Xenopus tropicalis: one gene and its partners. The protein of the gene in region 2 purifies or fractionates together with the protein of the main gene of each other region. This does not show direct contact. Links are inferred from orthologs where the notes say so. Each region holds a gene or a part of one and is shown on either strand. Other genes may lie near its edges.

Region 1 (4,013 bases), on a different chromosome or scaffold from region 2:
ATGTCGCAAGATCCAGGAGAGTTTGCGAGGGCCTGCATTGGACCTAATTAAGCTCCAACGAGAGGTGTGCCCACAAGATGGTCCTGAGAAGTTGATAGACGTACTGGAAGATACATATGGACCGGTGGAAGATGAAATTGAAATGTTGTACAAATTTCAGTCTTGCATGCAGAAAGAAAAAGAGAATCTGTCTGAGTACTTGAAGCGACTGCAGCAAATGCTAAAATTACTTGTTTGCCGAAGAATCATTGCTACAGATCGTGTTGATTCTATGAGGCTACAACAGTTATTCAGAGGGGCTTTATCTATGGACCCCACAGCTGTGATGTTGAGATCTTTCTACAGAGGAAAGAAAGAACCAACTTATCAGGAGCTGATCCGTGAGATCCGAAAGGAGGAAGTTAATGTTCTGCGACGAGAGAAGAAAAGACGTGGTTCTGAAAGGACATCCAGTGATTCGCAGAAAGCGGAAGAGATTGCCGAGTTAAAAAAACAGGTTGCTCAGCTCAAGGCTCGTGTGTCCGAAAAGGAAGAGGGGTCAACTATGTCTAGACCCTCTTCATTTCCTAAAGCAGGTGGTGCTCGCGGTGACCCACCAAAGTGCTTCCGTTGTGGCCGGTTGGGCCATATATCCCCACACTGTCCGACGCAACGTGAAAATGCTGCAGCTACAGAAGTTATTTCATATGGCTGTGCTGTGAGGAAGCCACCCCAAAAGAGGTATCGGAAGAGACGTAATCAGGTGAGGTGTTACACCTGTGGTTGGTACGGTCATACTTCCCACACCTGTGACTGGGGACGGAATGAAGACTTCACTGATGTATATGTGACATCTTTCCCATGTGAAGTGAATATTTGTGAAGAGAAATCCTGTGGCACGAGGATGGTCTCTGAGCACTCTGGCACCCCCAATAAAAGTAAGAGACTGGGCCTGGGAATGCGTAGACCTTCAGGCAGGGGAAGTGTCAGGGCAGTTAGTGAGGAAGCTTTCCCCTGTGTATCTCCCCCAAAGGTTAGGGAGAATAAGAATGGTGAGAAAGGGCAAGCGAGGACGTTGCCCATTCAAGCAGGGGGAGAATGTAGGGAGGTAGTGCTGGGTCCCTGCACTTACCCCCCTCCTGCTGCTGTTCCCTGTAGGGGAGCTGGCACTGAGACTTTGTGCTGTGAGCTGCTGCCTAGCAACAAGGTGAACAGCAAGCTCAGGGCTGCCGGAAGTTGCAAAGCAGCCTGGGAGAGGAAGTCAGTGGGAGGAGAGAAAAAGCCCCAGAACTCCAGAAGCTGCACGTGGGCTCAGAGAGAGGAGCAGCACAAGAAGAAGCTGGCCTTTGGAACAGGCTGGTACAGGGAAGGCAGACCCTGTACCTGGAGAGACAGAGATCCTGTGAGGAGTCCTGACTGGAGGAACAAACACCTGCAGGGGAATCCCATCTGAGTAGCTAAAGGGGCTAGTAGTCGCACTGCATGGCTGTGAGTGCTGGACTCGCCTGAAGATTCTGTGTGAATCACCCAAAGAGATTCCTGGAGTGAGTATCATTAAAGTGAAAGTAATAAAGGAGCGCTTGAAGATTTAAACTATATAAACTGTTTCTTTTGGGACTGAGCTAAAGGACTGTACATAGTTAGTGAGACAGCTTGCGCTGGCAAAGCTAGTTAGTAAGGCCCTTATTGCCACTTGGATAGGAGTGTTATCTGTATTAGTTTCCCCTTTATTTCAGATAAAAGTTATTTCGTTTATCAAGTACTGTGTGTGCATTATTATTGTTCCTAGTGGGGCCACCCGTAGGTGCACTCCAGGATCCCACTAGGTGGAGGCACTGCGCTAATAAGTACCAGGTACCCAGTCTCTCCCAATACCACTGCGGAGTGATTCAGGTTTGTCCCGTGCCATCAGGTAAGCGCCACTCGTGGAGTGTAACACTGTCAAAGGTGCCAGAAGTGGTGAAGATAGGGTTACAGTATTTCCCCTTAAAGTTTGTCAAATAAGTATCTAGCGGTCAGAACTCCCTATGTATTAATATATATTCAAATGTATTTATTTAGATATTATTTATGAAAGTGTTAGGACACATTTTATAATATATATTTATGATATTAGTGTGCTTTAGCAAGGTAATGCACTTCCACAGGGGAAGTGATTGTGCTGTGGTGTTCTGGGTATTGTGAATTTAGGGTTAAAAGTGTGCCCTTCTATGATGATTTGTTCCCAGAAGGGTAATAGCCAAAAAGGAAGAAAAGCAAGACCTTGGCCACAAACTAGCAAAAATCAGACAAAAAAAAAAATCACAGGTCATATGCGTATATTCAAATGTTCATTTTGGGGGGTGGGGGTAGCAGGTGTATCTATTTACTATGCATTTTATTTAGTATTTATCATAAAACATAAATGATAAGATCACCTTTTTAACTTTGTAAGTCTATTAAACTTACACAATTTAGAGCTAAAAGCCCCAGCCATTACCAGAATATGTTGTTAGCAATTTATACAGATTCATCCCGCACTTAAAAATCAGCGCATTGTACTGTTGCTAATGTAATGTTATCTGCCAATTAGCAATGCTTGGCATACACAAGGCATAAAAAGGCTTCGTAGCCACCAGGACTACACTTACGCCGCTTAAAACCATATTTCTATCACTTCAGAAGACCTCATTATACCTTGCGATTAACGTTGTGCACATAAGGGCAGGTATTACAGGCAAACCTGTAGCACTTCTGTCCCTCCTCCACGATCAGCACATTCCCACACGTCGGGCAAAATAGCAACATTGCTGCTAACAGATTAGCTCAAACTTCGCATCAACCACTTCATCCTCCAGACGCCAGTACCGCTGCCTAAGCAGAATGATCACCACGCGTTTGCCCTAGCCTCGCATTCACCTACATTACATCTTATTGCGCACGTTTCCGCCCGGTGATGACGTCTTTAATGGGCGCCCTAGAAATCTGCGACAGTTCCATTTGTAACTTGAATGAAACGGTGTGAACTAAAGGTGGGTAGTGGAAATTGCGTTGAAAAACTTAACTCGAAATTCTAAATTTCTACATTTAAGTCCAGCTCCCAAAAACTGATAACACGAGAAGAGCAATTTTTGCAAAGCAAAAGCAGAACTAGAAGTCTTGCAGCCATTTAAGTTGAAAAGGAGAAAAGGCACAGGTTTGGATATCATATAACATATATGCTCTGTAATAAAATGCAGTGGTGGTATATTCGTGTTAATCTGGTATCTGCTGTGTATCCTGTGCCTTTCTCCTTTTTTTATCTTGAAGTGCTTCCTCCATGGCTGCATAGAAGCTTGTTTATATAAACTATTTATATTCTTATTTATATACGGCTGATGCCGCATGGAAACCCGCATGCAGATAATCAGTCCCTCCGCTGACAGCCTCCTACCTTGCCTGCACCAGAAACTATTGGGCTGGCCTGGGTGCAGGCACACATGGCAGATATCAGCAAAGAAACTGTAAATTTAGCATTTTAGAGTGGATATTCATATTGTATGCTTGCACCTGGGCCAACGCAGTGGTTTGACCTGGAAAAGTAGGAGGCTGATGCCCAAGGAACTGATTCTTGGCCTGTGGTTTTTCATGTGCTGAGAATCAACCCCACATGGTATAAGCATTACAGTACTTATGTACGAAGCACTGTACAGCAGAGCATCTAATTGATAGAACCAGGGCCACCATCAGAAATCGCGTTCTTATAGTAAAACGGTGGTGTGTATTTCTTTTTCTCAGGCTTTGACCAGTCTCTCCTATATACAGTCCTCCTGTTCAGTATCTAGTGCACTGTATTAAGTACACCATATTGGAAGAAGAACAGTTGTACTGACCATGGATGTTGTATTCCTCTAATGTGTCTGAAATCTGAATTACAGATGTGTGGGCAGGTTTTGCATTGTTTTTTTGCCACAGGGATAAGTTCCTTTTTTGTTGGGTTGAATTAAGGCACTTCTTGTTATTAGTTGTTTTAGGTTTGGGGGCTGCCTGAATGCCAGAAGTGGTGGGTCTGGGAA
Region 2 (3,500 bases):
GCAAAACAAGCCATGGAATTAGCAATCCAAGAATTCAAAGAAATGAAAGTATTGATTCAGGTACCCCAAAAAGAAAAATTCAGGGGGGTCTACTCCCCAATCTTCCTTGTACCAAAACCAAACGGGAAATACAGAACCATCATAGATCTAAGATATTTAAATCAATTTATATTCAAGAAGAAGTTCAAAATGGAATCAATAAGATCCACCCTGTTAGCGCTTCGCGAAGGGGATGTGATGTGTACTATAGATCTAAAAGACGCCTACCTTCATATTCCCATAAGGGAATGTCACCATAAATTCTTAAGAGTAGCCATAAGGGGACCTGCAGGAACAGAACACCTTCAATTCGCAGCCCTGCCGTTTGGAATATCGAGTGCACCAAGAGTCTTTACAAAGGTAATAATAGTAGTCGCAGCGTACTTAAGAACTCAAGGTATTGCTATTATTCCTTATCTGGACGATTGTCTACTAAAAGCAGAAACCGATTTAGGGTTACAAAGGAACCTATTCAAAGCAATAGAGGTTTTCCAGTCATTGGGCTGGTTAATAAATTGGGAAAAATCCAATCTAAATCCTACAAAAGAGATAAAGTTTTTGGGAATGATCTGGAACACAGAAGAAGGAAGAATTTTCCTTCCTCCAGGAAAAAGGGAAAAAATCAGAGACAGAGTGCGCAAGTTTCAAAACAAAAAATTTTCTTCAATAAAGCAGGGTTTAGAAATTTTGGGTCTTTTTTCAGCAGTATTAGAAGCAGTTCCATGGGGTCGTGCCCATATGAAGGACCTGCAAAAATATATGAACTCAGTTTGGGATCATCAGAAGGCATCACTCAGAAAGAAACTCTATGTTCCACCGGAAATAAAGAAATCTCTTACTTGGTGGTTACACCCAGGGAACCTTTCAAAAGGTTCATCCCTATTTCCTATTCCTCCCTTAGTCATCACAACAGACGCAAGTGGCAAAGGTTGGGGAGCACATTTAGGAAACCTGGTAGAGCAAGGTATCTGGGAAAAAGGTATTGGTCATCAGGCAGCAAACTCCTTAGAGTTGGAAGCAGTATGGAGAGCTCTGCTTGCTTTCAAAACTATTGTAAAAGACCAAAATGTTCTAATACATACAGACAATGTGGCAACAGCCTACTATATAAATCACCAAGGAGGTTCCAGAAGCAAAGATCTGGGAATGAGAATAAAAAAGATCATGGGCTGGGGAGAAAAAAATCTAAAAAGTATTCTAGCCCGCCATATCTCTGGGCACAGCAATATCAGAGCAGACTTTTTAAGTCGCAGGTTGATACTCCCCGGGGAGTGGAGTCTAGATCCAGAAACATTTCTTCAGATTTGCAAGGTCTGGGGTTCTCCAGAAATAGACCTCATGGCCTCAAAGTACAATGCAAAGCATCAAAGATATTTTTCCCTTACAGCAGGCCAAGGCGAGGAAGCAGTGGATGCTCTAGCCCAATCATGGGATTTCAGCCTAGCATATGTCTTTCCGCCTATCCCTATGTTAGCAAGAGTGATCAAGAAAATTGCACTTTGCTCAACAGAAGTGATTCTAATAGCTCCTGCCTGGCCCAGAAGGAGTTGGTACTCCAGTCTCCTCCAACTTTCTGTCAGTCCTCCTTGGCTCCTTCCAGTGAAGGAAAATCTCCTACACCAGGGACCAATTTTGCATCCAAACCCTGCAGCTCTTCAGCTCACAGCATGGAGACTGAAAGGGATGTTATGAAAGCACAAGGGATATCTTCACCAGTCATTGAAGTTCTGTTACAGAGCAGGAAAGAAATTACAAATAAAATTTATCAAAGAATTTGGTCTTGTTTCAGGAAGTGGTGCTCAAATAAGAAACTAACTCCAGAAGATGTTCCAGTGTCAATCATATTAGATTTTCTACATGATGGATTTAAGAAGAAATTAGCTCCAAATACACTTAAGGTACACATTGCGGCCTTATCAGCTTTCAAGAACATATCCTTGGCGGAGCATCCATTGATCAAAAGATTTGTCAGGGCTGTTCAAAATATTAGACCTAAGACAAATAACCTAACTCCAAATTGGGACTTAGACATTGTGTTAAGAGCCTTACAAAATGTTCCTTTTGAACCCTTGGAAGAAGTTTCCCTGTATCATCTGTCCATTAAAACAGTATTTTTAGTGGCAGTTTGTTCAGCCAGACGCGTAGGAGAACTGCAAGCTTTATCATGTAAAAATTCGTGTCTACAAGTTTTTCCAGACAGGATCATTCTCAAAGCAGATCCTTGGTTCAGACCTAAAGTCTCATCTAATTTTCATAGAAACTTTGAAGTCATTCTTCCAGCTTTTTTTGCAGAACCAAGAAATAAAGTGGAGGAAAAGCTACACTTACTGGATGCCAAAAGATGTGTTTTGTTCTATTTAAACAAGGTAAAACCTTTTCGTATATCTCATAACCTTTTCGTTTCCTTTTGGGGAAAGAACAAGGGGAAGCGTGCCTCAAAAACTTCCATTTCCAGATGGATAAAACAGGCAATTTCCTTAGCCTATTCTGCTTCAGGAAAATCAATACCTCCAAACCTCAAGGCACATTCTACCAGAGCAGTGTCAGCCTCACAGGCAGAAGTTGGAGGTGTGTCAGTGGACCAGATATGTAGAACAGCTTCGTGGGCAAGTTTCAGAACATTTGCAGAGCATTACCGACTGAACGTAGGTACCCCTGGGGAAGTGGCGTTCGCAAATACGGTACTTTATTCAAATTGTAAAAAAAAAACCCCTTGACGTACTGCTACTCAACTCTCTCTAGTAAGTGCTGCCAAGGGACGTGAGGGAAATAACGGATTTATACTTGCGTAAATTCCTTTTCCCTCAGTCCCGAAGGCAGCACAATATCCCTCCCTTACAGTAAATATTCTATCAGCATTGTGTATGTGTCTTATTGCTTGAGAAAATCACTGAGGGCTAGAGGGAAGCAGAGGGACTTATAGGAGATGAGGGGGTGGAGTAATTAATTGGGGGGTGTGGTGTTTTCCTACCAGGTGGAAGTCATCTCTCTAGTAAGTGCTGCCTTCGGGACTGAGGGAAAAGGAATTTAAGTAAGTATAAATCCGTTATTTAGCCTTGATTTTTTGTTGAGCTTTAGTTTCCCTTTAAGAAAGAACCCTTGCTAATGGTTGTTTGTCCTTGTGTCTAGGTGCCATTTCTGCAAGTCGTCTTGTCATGTCTCCTCCTTGAGGATCCCCTACGCCTGCAAGTTGCTCTTCCAAGAGCTCCAGTCAATGAATATTATCCCCAGACTCAAACTGGCCAAGTATAATGAATAAACTGACTAGAGATGCACCAAATCCAGGATTCAGCTTGGGATTTGGCCAAGATGCAGCCTTTTCCAGCATGATTTGGATCCAGCCGAACCACTCCGAATCCTTAAAATCACTTGACTTTTTGTAACATAAACACAGTTCTCTTTAACCCCTCCGTAGCCTAATTTGCACATACAAATTAGGATTCGGATTCAGTTCAGTATTT
Region 3 (4,016 bases), on a different chromosome or scaffold from region 2:
GGGCTGCTGTCAGTCACCTTTTGCTTAGGGACTGATTCACAATGCACAGTATATTGTGAATTCTAGTTTGTTAATATAAAGCATATTTGTAATTAATTATATTCACAATAAATGTCACTATAGAAACCAATGTGTTCTGCATTGAGAAATGGTTATTAATCAGCTACTATGACCTACATTTCTGTGCAGCACAAATGTGGATTTCTGTGCAGGATTCTGCTGGAGAAGCTCTATTAATGGATGTGTTTTTTGGGAGAAAAAAAAAAAACATGACAATATTCCTTTAGTCCTCCTTTAAGGCTCACTACAAATTACTTTTTACATGTATTCTGGATTTCTTTCTAGATTATGCATTTGTCTCCACTCCTGTGGGTCCATGCTTTTAGGGCAAAATTAGATAACTATATTGATGGGCAATGGGACACATAATACTGTACCAGAAGACAAATGCATGTACAGAAAAAGTGGGCATAAATTTTAAAGGCAAAAACATATATGTGCCATTTGACATTTGTCATAACTACATAAATGACTTATTCGATACACATACAGTGACAAATGCACTAAAAACAAAAAAAGTCTGTGCAACAGTGCACAGTGTGATACACAGTGAGAAATCAGAAAATTTCTAATTCTGCTTTGTAATATCGTAATAGGATTATTAGCCCTAACTCTACAGATGATGCAATACAAGCAAAAATTACTAGTTATACCAATATGTTAGCCCATAGGAACCCAAATAAGGGCTTTGGTATTCTACATCCAGTAAACTGATTCAATGAGCGAACTGATCAACAGCAACGTTTTACTGAACCAATGCACACTTGCCCTATGTCAGTAAATAAACCCCAGCCTGTGTTCTTGTGTTACCAGAGGGTAAGAAGACTTGAGAATCGGAATCATCCAAAACTCCTTCTTAAAATACCTCAGTCTATACTTTGTACTTAGAGATTTAAAGCTCTTAGCTTCTAATCAGAAGCTTGGAAGAATGTCATATTCAGCATTATATAAGCTTATAATTCTTTGCAAATTAACCCTTTTGTCTTGCTGCACTGCATGTGCACCAGTACAAAATATGCTCAGTCATTGTGCTTACAGCCCACCAAATTTACAATATGTTAAAAATATGCAAAACTTGCTCACTCCTTCCATTAGGAACACTATGCTCACATCCTTCCTAGGCTAGCTCTTCAGTTTTCTAATTGTAGGCAAAGGATTCAGGTACAAGCTTTCAGCATGGATTATTAAAGGGATAACAATACGGGTGAAGATACAAGGAGCTATTAGTAGCAGCTACAAAAATAGACAGTGCTGATCATTTACTGATAATTGTCTCTACGTGTGTGTTAGAAGAGGCAATTCTCAGTATTATCTATGGTATGGTATTTTCTGGAGTTTAGTAGCCATTACAAGTAGCTGCTACTAAGTAGCTCCATGTGTCTTCACCCTTACACAGCTTCAATGAACACTGTAGAGTCCAAGATAACTATATTATTGCCTCTTTGCTCTCAACTACGATTCCAGTAATACTAGTAAGTGAACTGCTAAGCAGAGGAACTGACCTGGTTAGGATGAGAAGAGGTAAAAGGAGCCAAATTGTCCTTTACATTGCAAGACATGAAGTGTGAGGCCTTCTGAGAACAGAAGGTATTTACATGCCTCATGCCATACCAATAGCACTGCCTATGACATTTAGACTGTTCCTGCTACAAGAGGTACTCTGGTGTTTGCATTAATAGCTGGCACAGCATTACTGCTCAAAAAAGGTGCAAGTCCTGCCACTTTTAAGACAACTGCAATTTTATAAGATAACAAGCTTTATTTACTGAATTGTTGTCAATTTTATGCCCAATGTAACTTTTATTTCTTATGGAGCACAACACTGAATTTGAGTCAACTCAAAGGTCACAGTGGTACATTATGCTTAGCAAAGTCAACCGGCTGAGTTAGATCATGGCTGTGCATACTGTAGCCCTCCTGTTAAAAAGATGCTGGAAGCGTCTCACTGCCTGACCCTAACTTATAAACAGGGTACCTGTCAAATGTGCACAGACATGACAGAGTACTGTGTTCCCTATGGGATTAAGCATTTACACCTTAACATTTTCAGATTTTATGGCAGCGCCAATGGTAATACTAAGCTGCATATTCTGGTGCAAGTGGAACTTATATAACTTTCAGTAGCTGTACATCCTGCTCAATAACATACATCCTCCTTTATTTGTTTTGCTTCTCAGTTTCCTGTGCTACCTTCCTGATGGCCAATGCTCAGCCCTGTGTCATAATGGCCCTGTGTCATAATGCCCAAATATAGTCCATTTTGTACAAAACAATGGGCTCCGACTAGTCTAAAAGTTACAGTGATAAAAAGCAAATGAGTGATGTGCTGCTAAGTGGTTTATTCCAACTGTGTGCTCTTCTCTTTGCTGGGGAACAAGCCCATACTGTCTATATTAACCATGGTACAGGCTGCCCTAAGCCCGCTGGGCGCACTTGTACCCTAGTGCATAAGCGCTCTGCCCTGGCTGGCTTATGCTCTGCCACATTCACATGTGTAACATGGCACTCGTCCTCTGTTTACCTTTCCATGCTCTTCCTGAAGTCTGGCCACATCACTGGAGCTCAGCAGTTTCGTACCCTCCCTTATCTCTTCCATGCTTTCCGTCCGTCGCAAACCCCTTTGCCCCGGAACTCGGGAACCGACCGTGGTCCCACCTTCTCGGGCCCCGACTCTGAGAGTCCCACTCGCATGAGCCACTCAGGCACGGAAGGAAATTCACCTCAAACTCTCGCGAGCATGAGACCTGGGAAATCTCGTAACTAGGAAGCAAATGCACGTGGGGACTGTACGTTTCCAAGGAGGAAAGCTTTCATCAGCCTGACTCTGCTACTGTGTTACTGTGATACTGTTTTACTGTGTTACTGTGATACTGTGTTACTGTGTTACTGTGTTACTGTGATACTGTTTTACTGTGTTACTGTGATACTGTGATACTGTGATACTGTGTTACTGTGTTACTGTGTTACTGTGTTACTGTGATACTGTGTTACTGTGCTACTGTGTTACTGTGCTACTGTGTTACTGTGATACTGTGTTACTGTGTTACTGTGTTACTGTGATACTGTGATACTGTGTTACTGTGTTACTGTGATACTGTGATGATACTGTGTTACTGTGTTACTGTGTTACTGTGATACTGTGATACTGTGTTACTGTGTTACTGTGCTACTGTGCTACTGTGTTACTGTGTTACTGTGCTACTGTGCTACTGTGCTACTGTGCTACTGTGTTACTGTGTTACTGTGTTACTGTGATACTGTGTTACTGTGATACTGTGATACTGTGTTACTGTGATACTGTGCTACTGTGATGATACTGTGCTACTGTGCTACTGTGTTTCTGTGCTACTGTGATACTGTGCTACTGTGCTACTGTGCTACTGTGTTACTGTGATACTGTGATACTGTACTACTGTCTGTGTTACTGTGCTACTGTGTTACTGTACTACTGTCTGTGTTAAACTGTGCTACTCTCGTACTGTGTTTCTGTGCTACTGTATTACTGTGATACTGTGTTAGCACCTGCTGCGTGTGTCACGTCTGCAACTGTTAACTTCACTCCCACATTCCCACATGTAAATGTCAGTACATACTCTGTATTCTTACTGGATCATTAGCATGCTCAGCTGCAGTCTACAGTGCGTTGAGCCAATCACCAATGCTATTTGGGATGTTCAGATGTTCCTCGTGTTATTAACATTTAGTAAATTATAGCTGGACCTCTATTAAGTAACCTTTTAATTAGACTTATTTTTTGTGTATTTGTTTTATATTTAGCATTCAATATTTTTCATCTTTCCAGTCAAAAAATCATTTGGCCTTTATGGCGCTTTTGACCCCAAGCATCTCAAAACAGATCAACAGATTCATTGTATTATGATTTTTATAATTTATTAATTTTTTAGGTCCACTATTATTGATCTATTCTGTCTTCTAATCTGTTGCCTAGTTGCTTG
Region 4 (4,253 bases), on a different chromosome or scaffold from region 2:
ATTTACAGTAATATGGTAGGTGCAGGAAACCAATTAGGTTGTAGGCACAGCAAAATACAGCCATACTGACAGGATTTGCAGCAGCTAAAAGGGACCTGTTGGACTGCAACTTCATTATAAGACCAGAGAGGTGGTGATATGCAGCAGTTTTCATTACTGAGAAAGAATTACGCTGATGACAACGAGTTATGTTTACAAAAACAAAATTCTAAAAATCTTTATTACAAAACATGTAATACCTTGCTTTACACAAGAACAAGGAACACTATCATTAATTAACAAAATCTGATATATATGTAACTTAATCATATATATATGTAGAGCAGATGTCAGACACATGTAACTGAATTTTATCCAGGTCAGCGAGCATCAAACACAACCACTGAAATTGAAAGAATTAAGGAAATATTGAATCAGATAATGGAAAATAAAGTGTAGCACTCATGTACCATAAATAAATTTGCAGTAGATGTTAAATAAATCCATTTTACAATTTAGTGGATTGTTATGTATGGTGTGAAGTTCCCCTTTACAAAGTACTTTTTGGCTTTAAATTTGTTTCCAGCTCTCCCTTAATCTTCCTCTCGTGACTGAATAATGCTTATGGCACATCAACTATTTGTTCTACTGCTGCCATACTCCAAAAAAACACTGGAGGAAAAAACACCCCTGTCCACCATAAAGCTGGCCATACACGCACCGATAATATCGTACAAAACCTTGTTTCATACGATATTTGATGCGTGTTTGGCAAGTCGCCGAGTCGACCGATATCACAGGAGGCTGCTGATATCGGTCGACTCGCCGATCGGCCAGGTTAAAAGATTTTGATCGGGCGCCATAGAAGGCGTCTGAGCAAAATCTGCCATCAGGGCTGAGTCGGCAGAAATCATATTGTTTCTACCTCCTTATCTGCCGTTTCAGCCCTGAACGTTAGTGGCGGTTTCAACAACCTTAACTCTCCTCATATTACGAAATGGAAAGCACCATAGCTAACAGAGCAGAGACACACATTGGGGTCAAACGTTTTGCTTAGATTTTATTTTGCTTATTCTTTTAATAAAATGCATTATTTGATCAAATGCTTTTTCCTTCTTCCATAATTGTTTTGAAAAAATAGTTGCAAAAAGAAAGTTCTTTAATTACACTTTCTGCACAGTTTAGTGGAAATGGTAACAAAAACAATTAATGTTTTTCAAAGGGGAAGTTCACCTTCAATTATGTTTCAGTATGTTTTAGAATTAGCAATTCAGTTGCTAAACTATTCAATTGGTCAACATTTCTTATTTTTATTTTTTTTTAGCTTTTAATTTGATTTGGGGCCACTGTGGGAATCCAAACAACTATTGAGGTTACAATTTTATTTGTATTGCTATTTTTTTTACATCCTTCTATTTAGGCCTCTCCTATTTGTATTAGTATTTCTCATTTACACCACTGCATGGCTGCTAGGGTAATTTGGACCCTAGCAACCTGATATCTGCTGAATTTCCAATCTGGAGACAAATAGCTTAATAATTAAAAACACACACATATAATACAAAGACCAATTGCAAACTGTCTCAGAATATCATAAAATTGAACAACCCCTTTAATGGAAATAAGTTTAATACAAGCCTATTTTACAGGCCATTCTCCGTTCCTACACGCATTCAGTCTGGAGTAAATGTGCAGGTAACCAGAAAAAAAGGATACATCGTTTTGTTCTTTTCTTGTACATTATTCTGTAACCACATTCTCTGCACCTGATTGGATCTCTCGCTTTTATTTCATTTTCCGTGTGACATTCTAAATAAAGATGAGAGAAAATAACATGCAGTTTAAAATCTAAAGAAAATCAATGTTGATAAAGACTAAGATAAATATACAAGTCTTGTAAAAAGACAATGTCTGCAAGGACTGTTGTGAGTTCAAATGGAACAACACAAAAATAAGATGTTTATATTCTGGGTATTGTGAGGGGGTCTTGTCTGGGTGCCTGTATCCAATGTTTCAATCTAGTGGTAGCTCGCTATTGATTCGTAGTTGCACTCTCTTCTCTTAATATTATCCCGACATTTGCAGACACTAGCCAATTAACATTCTCAACATGATCTAAACTAGCACTGCAATCACCAGTATCATTCAGCTCTCCTGAGAATGCTGGAAACTGCAGGGCCTCTTGAAATCATTTTTTTCATCAATAATTGGCTCCCTTTAATTCATGACCAACAATGGCATTTAAAAGCCCACATTTATCCAATTCAGCTCCCTAGTGAATACAGGAGCTCCCATGCCTCCATCTTTCTGCAGTATCCCAATAGTTCCTAGTGACTAGTCCCAAACACAGGAAACAGATGTACAGAACCAAAAGTAATGCATATGCTCAGTGCAAGGGACTTATGGGAAACTAATTAAAATGGCACAGGTTCAACTAGTTTAGAATATATATATTCACTGGAGGGTTTTTTGGGCATATAACTTCTCTTTAGGATATTAGGCACTTTTGGCAAAACTCAGGGTGGGATGCTGGGATTGCAGGTGACCAGGAGCCGAAGTTGTAGGTCCCTGATGTCTTTTGAATCCAATAACTTCCTCTAAAGGCACCCCCGAGTAAAACTGACTGCTTTGAGAGAAAAACCTTACCTCCACAAATGTATATCATCGGCTGCTGCTTAGGAGGAGGTGCGTCCTTCTGGCCTTCCATTTTTTCACCTGAATAACATAAATTGCGGGTATTTTATTCCTGCAGAAAAGTCAATTTGCAGTTACAGCCTTTCTCTCACTCTCCCTACCGTAACGTCACTACATACAATAAATGTGACTACTCGGCCTACAATATATCGGCACAGCACTGCTTTCAACTCAGCATGCACCAAACATCCGAGGCGCACGATTCCTACGACATCAGAAAGCGCTCCTACGCGTGACGTTCGCTGCGTGTGTGCGACGGCCATCTTTAGTGTGGGCAACTATATGTTTCCAAGCTTTATTAGTATGCTAGTATTCTTTCACTATGCAGAAAGGCACCGTTGCTATTCTGCATTATTAAAGTGATTGTATGGTGTCATTTATTTATATAATAGTATGAATTTTCTGATTTTATTATGGATTTCAGGTATGGCGTTTGTTGCTGGGACGCCTGTCTTATATACTATTGTTGCTGTGAAAAATGTACTCTAAACATGCTTTTGTGCCGGAATTTGCTTTTATATGTGCAGACAGTGAATCAAGAAACTATCATACCACTTGGTGCCAAAAACAATGTTTTGTTACTGATCCTTTAGGAAAACTAATGCTATCATTACTACTTATTTTAAATTTATCTAATGCCAACCTTAGATAAAGGCTGACATTATAACAAAGTTTTTTTTTTTAGAAATAACACAATTTCCACTCATCACTTTAATTAGTTGATTGGAATGGCTGAACAAAGGCATCATGGGTATGACTGAAGAAAAGCACCATGGGTACTTATCACATGACCTTTGGAACACATTTGAAAAAAAGTGGGGGGTTTACAGGTTTTCCAGTTTTAGCTCAGTTTCATTGATCCTGAGCAAGAGATAGTCTCCAGGTGACCCTCCAGAGAGGATTCAGGTGAACAGAAATATTTCATTGTGAGGATTTTATTACAGGTTTTATTGGTGGTTTTTGAAATAGTTTAGCAGTTAACTGTCTCCTGGCTGTTGGTTGTTTCAGCCTAATAGTTTGGTTTGGTTTCTGGTTGGAAGCAGGATATTTGTATTAAAACAGATACTGCAAATTCCCTAAATCTTGCTTTTGAAAACCTTGCTTTATGGATCATGCTAAAATGTGTGCACCCCAATACTAAGCATACTTCATAAGCCTCTTGCTTTAAATATAGGCATGTATGGGTTACACCAGTGATCCCCAGCCAGCGGCTCATGAGCAACATGTTGCTCCCCAACCCCTTGGATGTTGCTCTGAGTGGCCTCAAAGCAGGTGCTTATTTTTTTTTGGAGTCAAGTTTTGGAGACCTAAAGTCCATGTGTACTGCCAAATAGAGCCTCCTGTAGTCTGCCAGTCCACAGTGGGCCATCTAATAACCAATCACAGCCTTTATTGGTCACTGCCTAGGAACTTTGTTCATGCTTGTGTTGCTCCCTACATTTTTTTTTATATTTAAATGTTGCTCACAGGTTAAAAAAAGTTTGGGGACCCCTGGATTACACTGTAGGAAATAAAGTGAATTGCAATGTTTCTTTTTATAATGAGGAACTGCTGAGCATGAGTTTAGCAATAATTCAGTG
Region 5 (3,947 bases), on a different chromosome or scaffold from region 2:
CAGAGGCTATTATCCCCCCACTGCTACTATAGGCACCATCTCTCCCTACTATACCTGCTATCCCACAGCCACAGTCCCTTCCCAGAGGCTATTATCCCCCTGCTACTATAGGCACCATCTCTCCCTACTATACCTGCTATCCCACAGCCACAGTCCCTTCCCAGAGGCTATTATCCCCCCACTGCTACTATAGGCACCATCTCTCCCTACTATACCTGCTATCCCACAGCCACAGTCCCTTCCCAAAGGGTATTATCCCCCACTGCTACTATAGGCACCATCTCTCCCTACTATACCTGCTATCCCACAGCCACAGTCCCTTCCCAGAGGCTATTATCCCCCCACTGCTACTATAGGCACCATCTCTCCCTACTATACCTGCTATCCCACAGCCACAGTCCCTTCCCAGAGGCTATTATCCCCCACTGCTACTATAGGCACCATCTCTCCCTACTATACCTGCTATCCCACCGCCACAATCCCTTCCCAGAGGCTATTATCCCCCCACTGCTACTATAGGTACCATCTCCCCCTACTATACCTGCTATCCCACAGCCACAGTCCCTTCCCAGAGGCTATTATCCCCCCACTGCTACTATAGGTACCATCTCCCCCTACTATACCTGCTATCCCACAGCCACAGTCCCTTCCCTACCTACTATATTCAATATATCACAGACTCTTCCCAGAGGCTACTATTTACACTACTTTGCAAAAGCTGAACATGCCCTTTGACAGCATTTTGACGAAGACAACTATGTCAAATTTAGAAAGATTAGTAGTTAAACTGGCAAAAAGTAATTTACTCCAACTTTTTAAAAGAAAATAAAAACAGTGTGGCATAAAAAGAAAAACATTTGATATTTAGACAAATGCCAAATTTATCTTCTCTGAACAGACATATTGTATAATATTTATTTTCTGGGCTCCAGCAGTTGCACCTCACTGATGGTGGCTGTGTAATGCATGATTAGAGCTAACTGCTGATAGTTGCCAGTACATTAGTTTTGTGTTCCCCTTTAAGAACACATAATGATCAATGTACAGCGCCTTTCCACTGAAAGGGCTGTGCTTCATGTTGTGTTTAGTAAGCCTGAACACTAACAAAGGGAAGCTCTACCCTATATAGTTTTACTGCTGAGCAGAACCTAATTAGTTTAGAATCAGTTACACTGCCTGATGCTCGTTAGGACTTGCTGACAAGCACTGCCCCCACTGGCTTATCCCTACTGCACCAGGATTTACTTGTGAATGTCATTGTAACGCAGATTTGGTGAATCAGCCGAGTTCTATGTTTGATTCATCAGCGAGAAATTATATCAGACTGAAGGTAAAATGATTCGCTTAAGTATATGAATTTAATATCATGTCTATAATTCTATTAATCTATGAAAACACCCAAATGTAAGATGTGTTAAAGCACAGATATAAGCACATTTTAGGCCATTATAAAATCAGTTACAGTTGGATCAATGATATTTAGCAGCATTGGCACAGATTGGCATATTGGGGCTTGCATTTATTGACTTCTACTGAAGCTGAATGTTGAAATGTTTTTGAATGTATTATTTAATAATGAGTTAAGCTTGTTTGCCTAAAGTGGGCCTATGAAAATAAATGCCTTTTAATATTTTATTGTTCAACTTGGGGTCCTTCAGCTGCTGGAAGCTGCAACTCTTAGTGCTCTTAGCTGGGTGTGGTTGGGGCATGACAGGGAATGCTTTAGGGCAGGACATAGAGAGCTTCTAGTCCTCATCATGTCCTTTGTAGAAGTACAAATAACAATCATTAAAAATGTATATTCTTATATACATTCTTAGTTTTTACATTTACAGTGTTGCCTGTGGCCCTTCTAGTTTTGTTCAACTAGAACATTCAATGTCAGCTGATGACTTTCAGGTGATTATAGCAGCTGTACCTGGGGGCCTATTTAGTGTGCTGAGTAAAATGGCAAATGTCACCATCTGAAAGCCAGACTTTATGCCATTATTCTATGCAAGCTACGTAATTACATTGTTTTTTACACAGCGAAGCCTCGCAATGAATGACGAATTTTGCTGCCATTTTTGCACAGCATAATAAGTAGGCATCTTAGTGTGCTGTAATTGGTGCAAACCCCAGCAGGTGTAATTCATTGCTATCAATTATTTTAATGAGAATGTTGTAAGAATACACCTGAGCTTCACTAAAAAAAGTATATAATTTTAAAGGGAAAGCTATGTTGATGAACAAAAGCTGGAGGGCTGCAATTTGGGCATACCTAATTTTTATAGGGTCATAGCGCCTTAACACAGTGAGGTGAAACATCTCAAAAAAAATGGTACGGCCGACCCATCAAATCAAATGGTACGGTCTGACCCCCCCTCAAATCAAATGGTACGGTCCGCCCCCTCCAAAAAATGGTACGGTCCAACCCCCCCCTCGAAACAAATGGTACGGTCCAACCCCCCTCCAAAAAATGGTACGGTCTGATCCCCCCTTCAAAAAAATAGCATGGTACGGCCTGATCCCCCGTCGGAAAAAAGTGGTACGGTCCGACACCCTCTCCAAAAAAATGGTACGGTCCGATCTCCCCCCCAAAAAAATGGTACGGTCCGACCCCCCCCTTCAAATAAAATGGTGCGGGCTGACCCCCCTCCAAAAAAATGGTACGGTCCAACCAAAATTTTTTGGAATGGGGGTCGGACTGTACCATTTTTTGGAGGGGGGCGGGGTTGGACGTACCATTTTTTTGAGAGGGAGGGATGGACCGTGACATTTTTGGAGGGGGGGTCGGACCATACCAATTTTAAGAGCGGGGGAGGTCGGACCGTACCATTTTATTTTGGAGGGGTAGGACCGTACCATTTTTTAGAGGGGATGGGGACGGACCGTACCATTTTCAAGAGCGGGGGGGTCGGACCGTACCATTTTTTAGAGCGGGGAGTCGGGCCATACCATTTTTAGAGGGGGAGGGGACCGTACCAATTTTTTTCGAGTGGGGGGGGATGGACGTACCAGTCGGACCGTACCATTTTTAAGAGCGGGGGTCGGACCGCACCAATTTTTATGGGGGGATAGGACCGTACCATTTTATTTTGGGTGGGGGGGGGAGTCGGACCGTACCATTTTTTGAGTGGGGGGGATGGACCGTACCATTTTTAAGAGCGGGGGGGGTTTCGGTCCGTACCATTTTTTTCGAGTGGGGGGATGAACGTACCATTTTTAAGAGTGGGGGGTCGGACCGTACCATTTTTAAGAGTGGGGGGGGGGGTTCGGACTGTACCATTTTTTGAGTGGGAGGGGGGTCGGACCGTACCATTTTTAAGAGCGGGGGGGTGATGGACCGTACCATTTTTAAGAGCGGGGGGGGTCGGACCGTACCATGTTTAAGAGCGGGGGGGTTCGGACTGTACCATTTTTTGAGTGGGGGGGGGGATGGACCGTACCATTTTTAAGAGCGGGGGGGTCGGACCGTACCATTTTTAAGAGCGGGGGGGGGGGTTCGGACTGTACCATTTTTAAGAGCGGGGGGGTCGGACCGTACCATTTTTTGAGGGGGGGGGTGGACCGTACCATTTTTAAAAGCGGGGGGGGGGGGGTCGGACCGTACCATTTTTTGAGTGGGGGGGGGGATGGACCGTACCATTTTTGAGTGGGGGGGGGATGGACCGTACCATTTTTAAGAGCGGGGGGGGGTTCGGACCGTACCATTTTTTGAGTGGGGGGGGATGACCGTACCATTTTTAAGAGCGGGGGGGGGTTCGGACCGTACCATTTTTTGAGTGAGGGGGATGGACCGTACCATTTTTAAGAGCGGGGGTGGTTCGGACTGTACCATTTTTGAGTGGGGGGGGGTGGACCGTACCATTTTTAAGAGCGGGGGGGTCGGACCGTACCATTTTTAAGAGCGGGGGGGTTCGGACTGTACCATTTTTAAGAGCGGGGGGGGTCGGACCGTACCATTT

The links. The genes of interacting proteins can lie anywhere in the genome.
Region 1: the proteins of polr3b (region 2) and polr3k purify together in Homo sapiens (affinity purification with mass spectrometry; 6 studies listed by BioGRID and IntAct, with this or other methods). This does not show direct contact. The link is inferred for Xenopus tropicalis from reciprocal best matches to the Homo sapiens genes POLR3B and POLR3K.
Region 3: the proteins of polr3b (region 2) and uri1 purify together in Homo sapiens (affinity purification with mass spectrometry; 4 studies listed by BioGRID and IntAct, with this or other methods). This does not show direct contact. The link is inferred for Xenopus tropicalis from reciprocal best matches to the Homo sapiens genes POLR3B and URI1.
Region 4: the proteins of polr3b (region 2) and polr2k purify together in Homo sapiens (affinity purification with mass spectrometry; 3 studies listed by BioGRID and IntAct, with this or other methods). This does not show direct contact. The link is inferred for Xenopus tropicalis from reciprocal best matches to the Homo sapiens genes POLR3B and POLR2K.
Region 5: the proteins of polr3b (region 2) and polr3g fractionate together in Homo sapiens (co-fractionation; 4 studies listed by BioGRID and IntAct, with this or other methods). This does not show direct contact. The link is inferred for Xenopus tropicalis from reciprocal best matches to the Homo sapiens genes POLR3B and POLR3G.

The regions. Positions count from the first base shown.
Region 1 is NC_030685.2:40,341,187-40,345,199, reverse strand, and holds the start of polr3k (DNA-directed RNA polymerase III subunit RPC10), read right to left. Parts: upstream 2,801-4,013; 5' UTR 2,767-2,800; coding exon 2,656-2,766; intron 1-2,655. Other genes in the region: snrnp25 (U11/U12 small nuclear ribonucleoprotein 25 kDa protein), read left to right, coding at 2,970-2,990. UniProt on the Homo sapiens protein: Core component of RNA polymerase III (Pol III) which synthesizes small non-coding RNAs using the four ribonucleoside triphosphates as substrates. Can mediate Pol I proofreading of the nascent RNA transcript.
Region 2 is NC_030679.2:15,932,589-15,936,088, reverse strand, and holds part of polr3b (DNA-directed RNA polymerase III subunit RPC2), read left to right. Parts: intron 1-3,168; coding exon 3,169-3,298; 3' UTR 3,299-3,500. UniProt on the Homo sapiens protein: Catalytic core component of RNA polymerase III (Pol III), a DNA-dependent RNA polymerase which synthesizes small non-coding RNAs using the four ribonucleoside triphosphates as substrates.
Region 3 is NC_030680.2:71,279,342-71,283,357, forward strand, and holds the start of uri1 (unconventional prefoldin RPB5 interactor 1), read right to left. Parts: upstream 2,801-4,016; 5' UTR 2,657-2,800; coding exon 2,582-2,656; intron 1-2,581. UniProt on the Homo sapiens protein: Involved in gene transcription regulation. Acts as a transcriptional repressor in concert with the corepressor UXT to regulate androgen receptor (AR) transcription.
Region 4 is NC_030682.2:128,131,348-128,135,600, reverse strand, and holds polr2k (DNA-directed RNA polymerases I, II, and III subunit RPABC4), read right to left. Parts: upstream 2,801-4,253; 5' UTR 2,687-2,800; coding exon 2,626-2,686; intron 1,789-2,625; coding exon 1,696-1,788; intron 383-1,695; coding exon 360-382; 3' UTR 189-359; downstream 1-188. UniProt on the Homo sapiens protein: DNA-dependent RNA polymerase catalyzes the transcription of DNA into RNA using the four ribonucleoside triphosphates as substrates.
Region 5 is NC_030677.2:178,954,538-178,958,484, reverse strand, and holds the start of polr3g (DNA-directed RNA polymerase III subunit RPC7), read left to right. Parts: upstream 1-1,147; 5' UTR 1,148-1,330; intron 1,331-3,947. UniProt on the Homo sapiens protein: DNA-dependent RNA polymerase catalyzes the transcription of DNA into RNA using the four ribonucleoside triphosphates as substrates.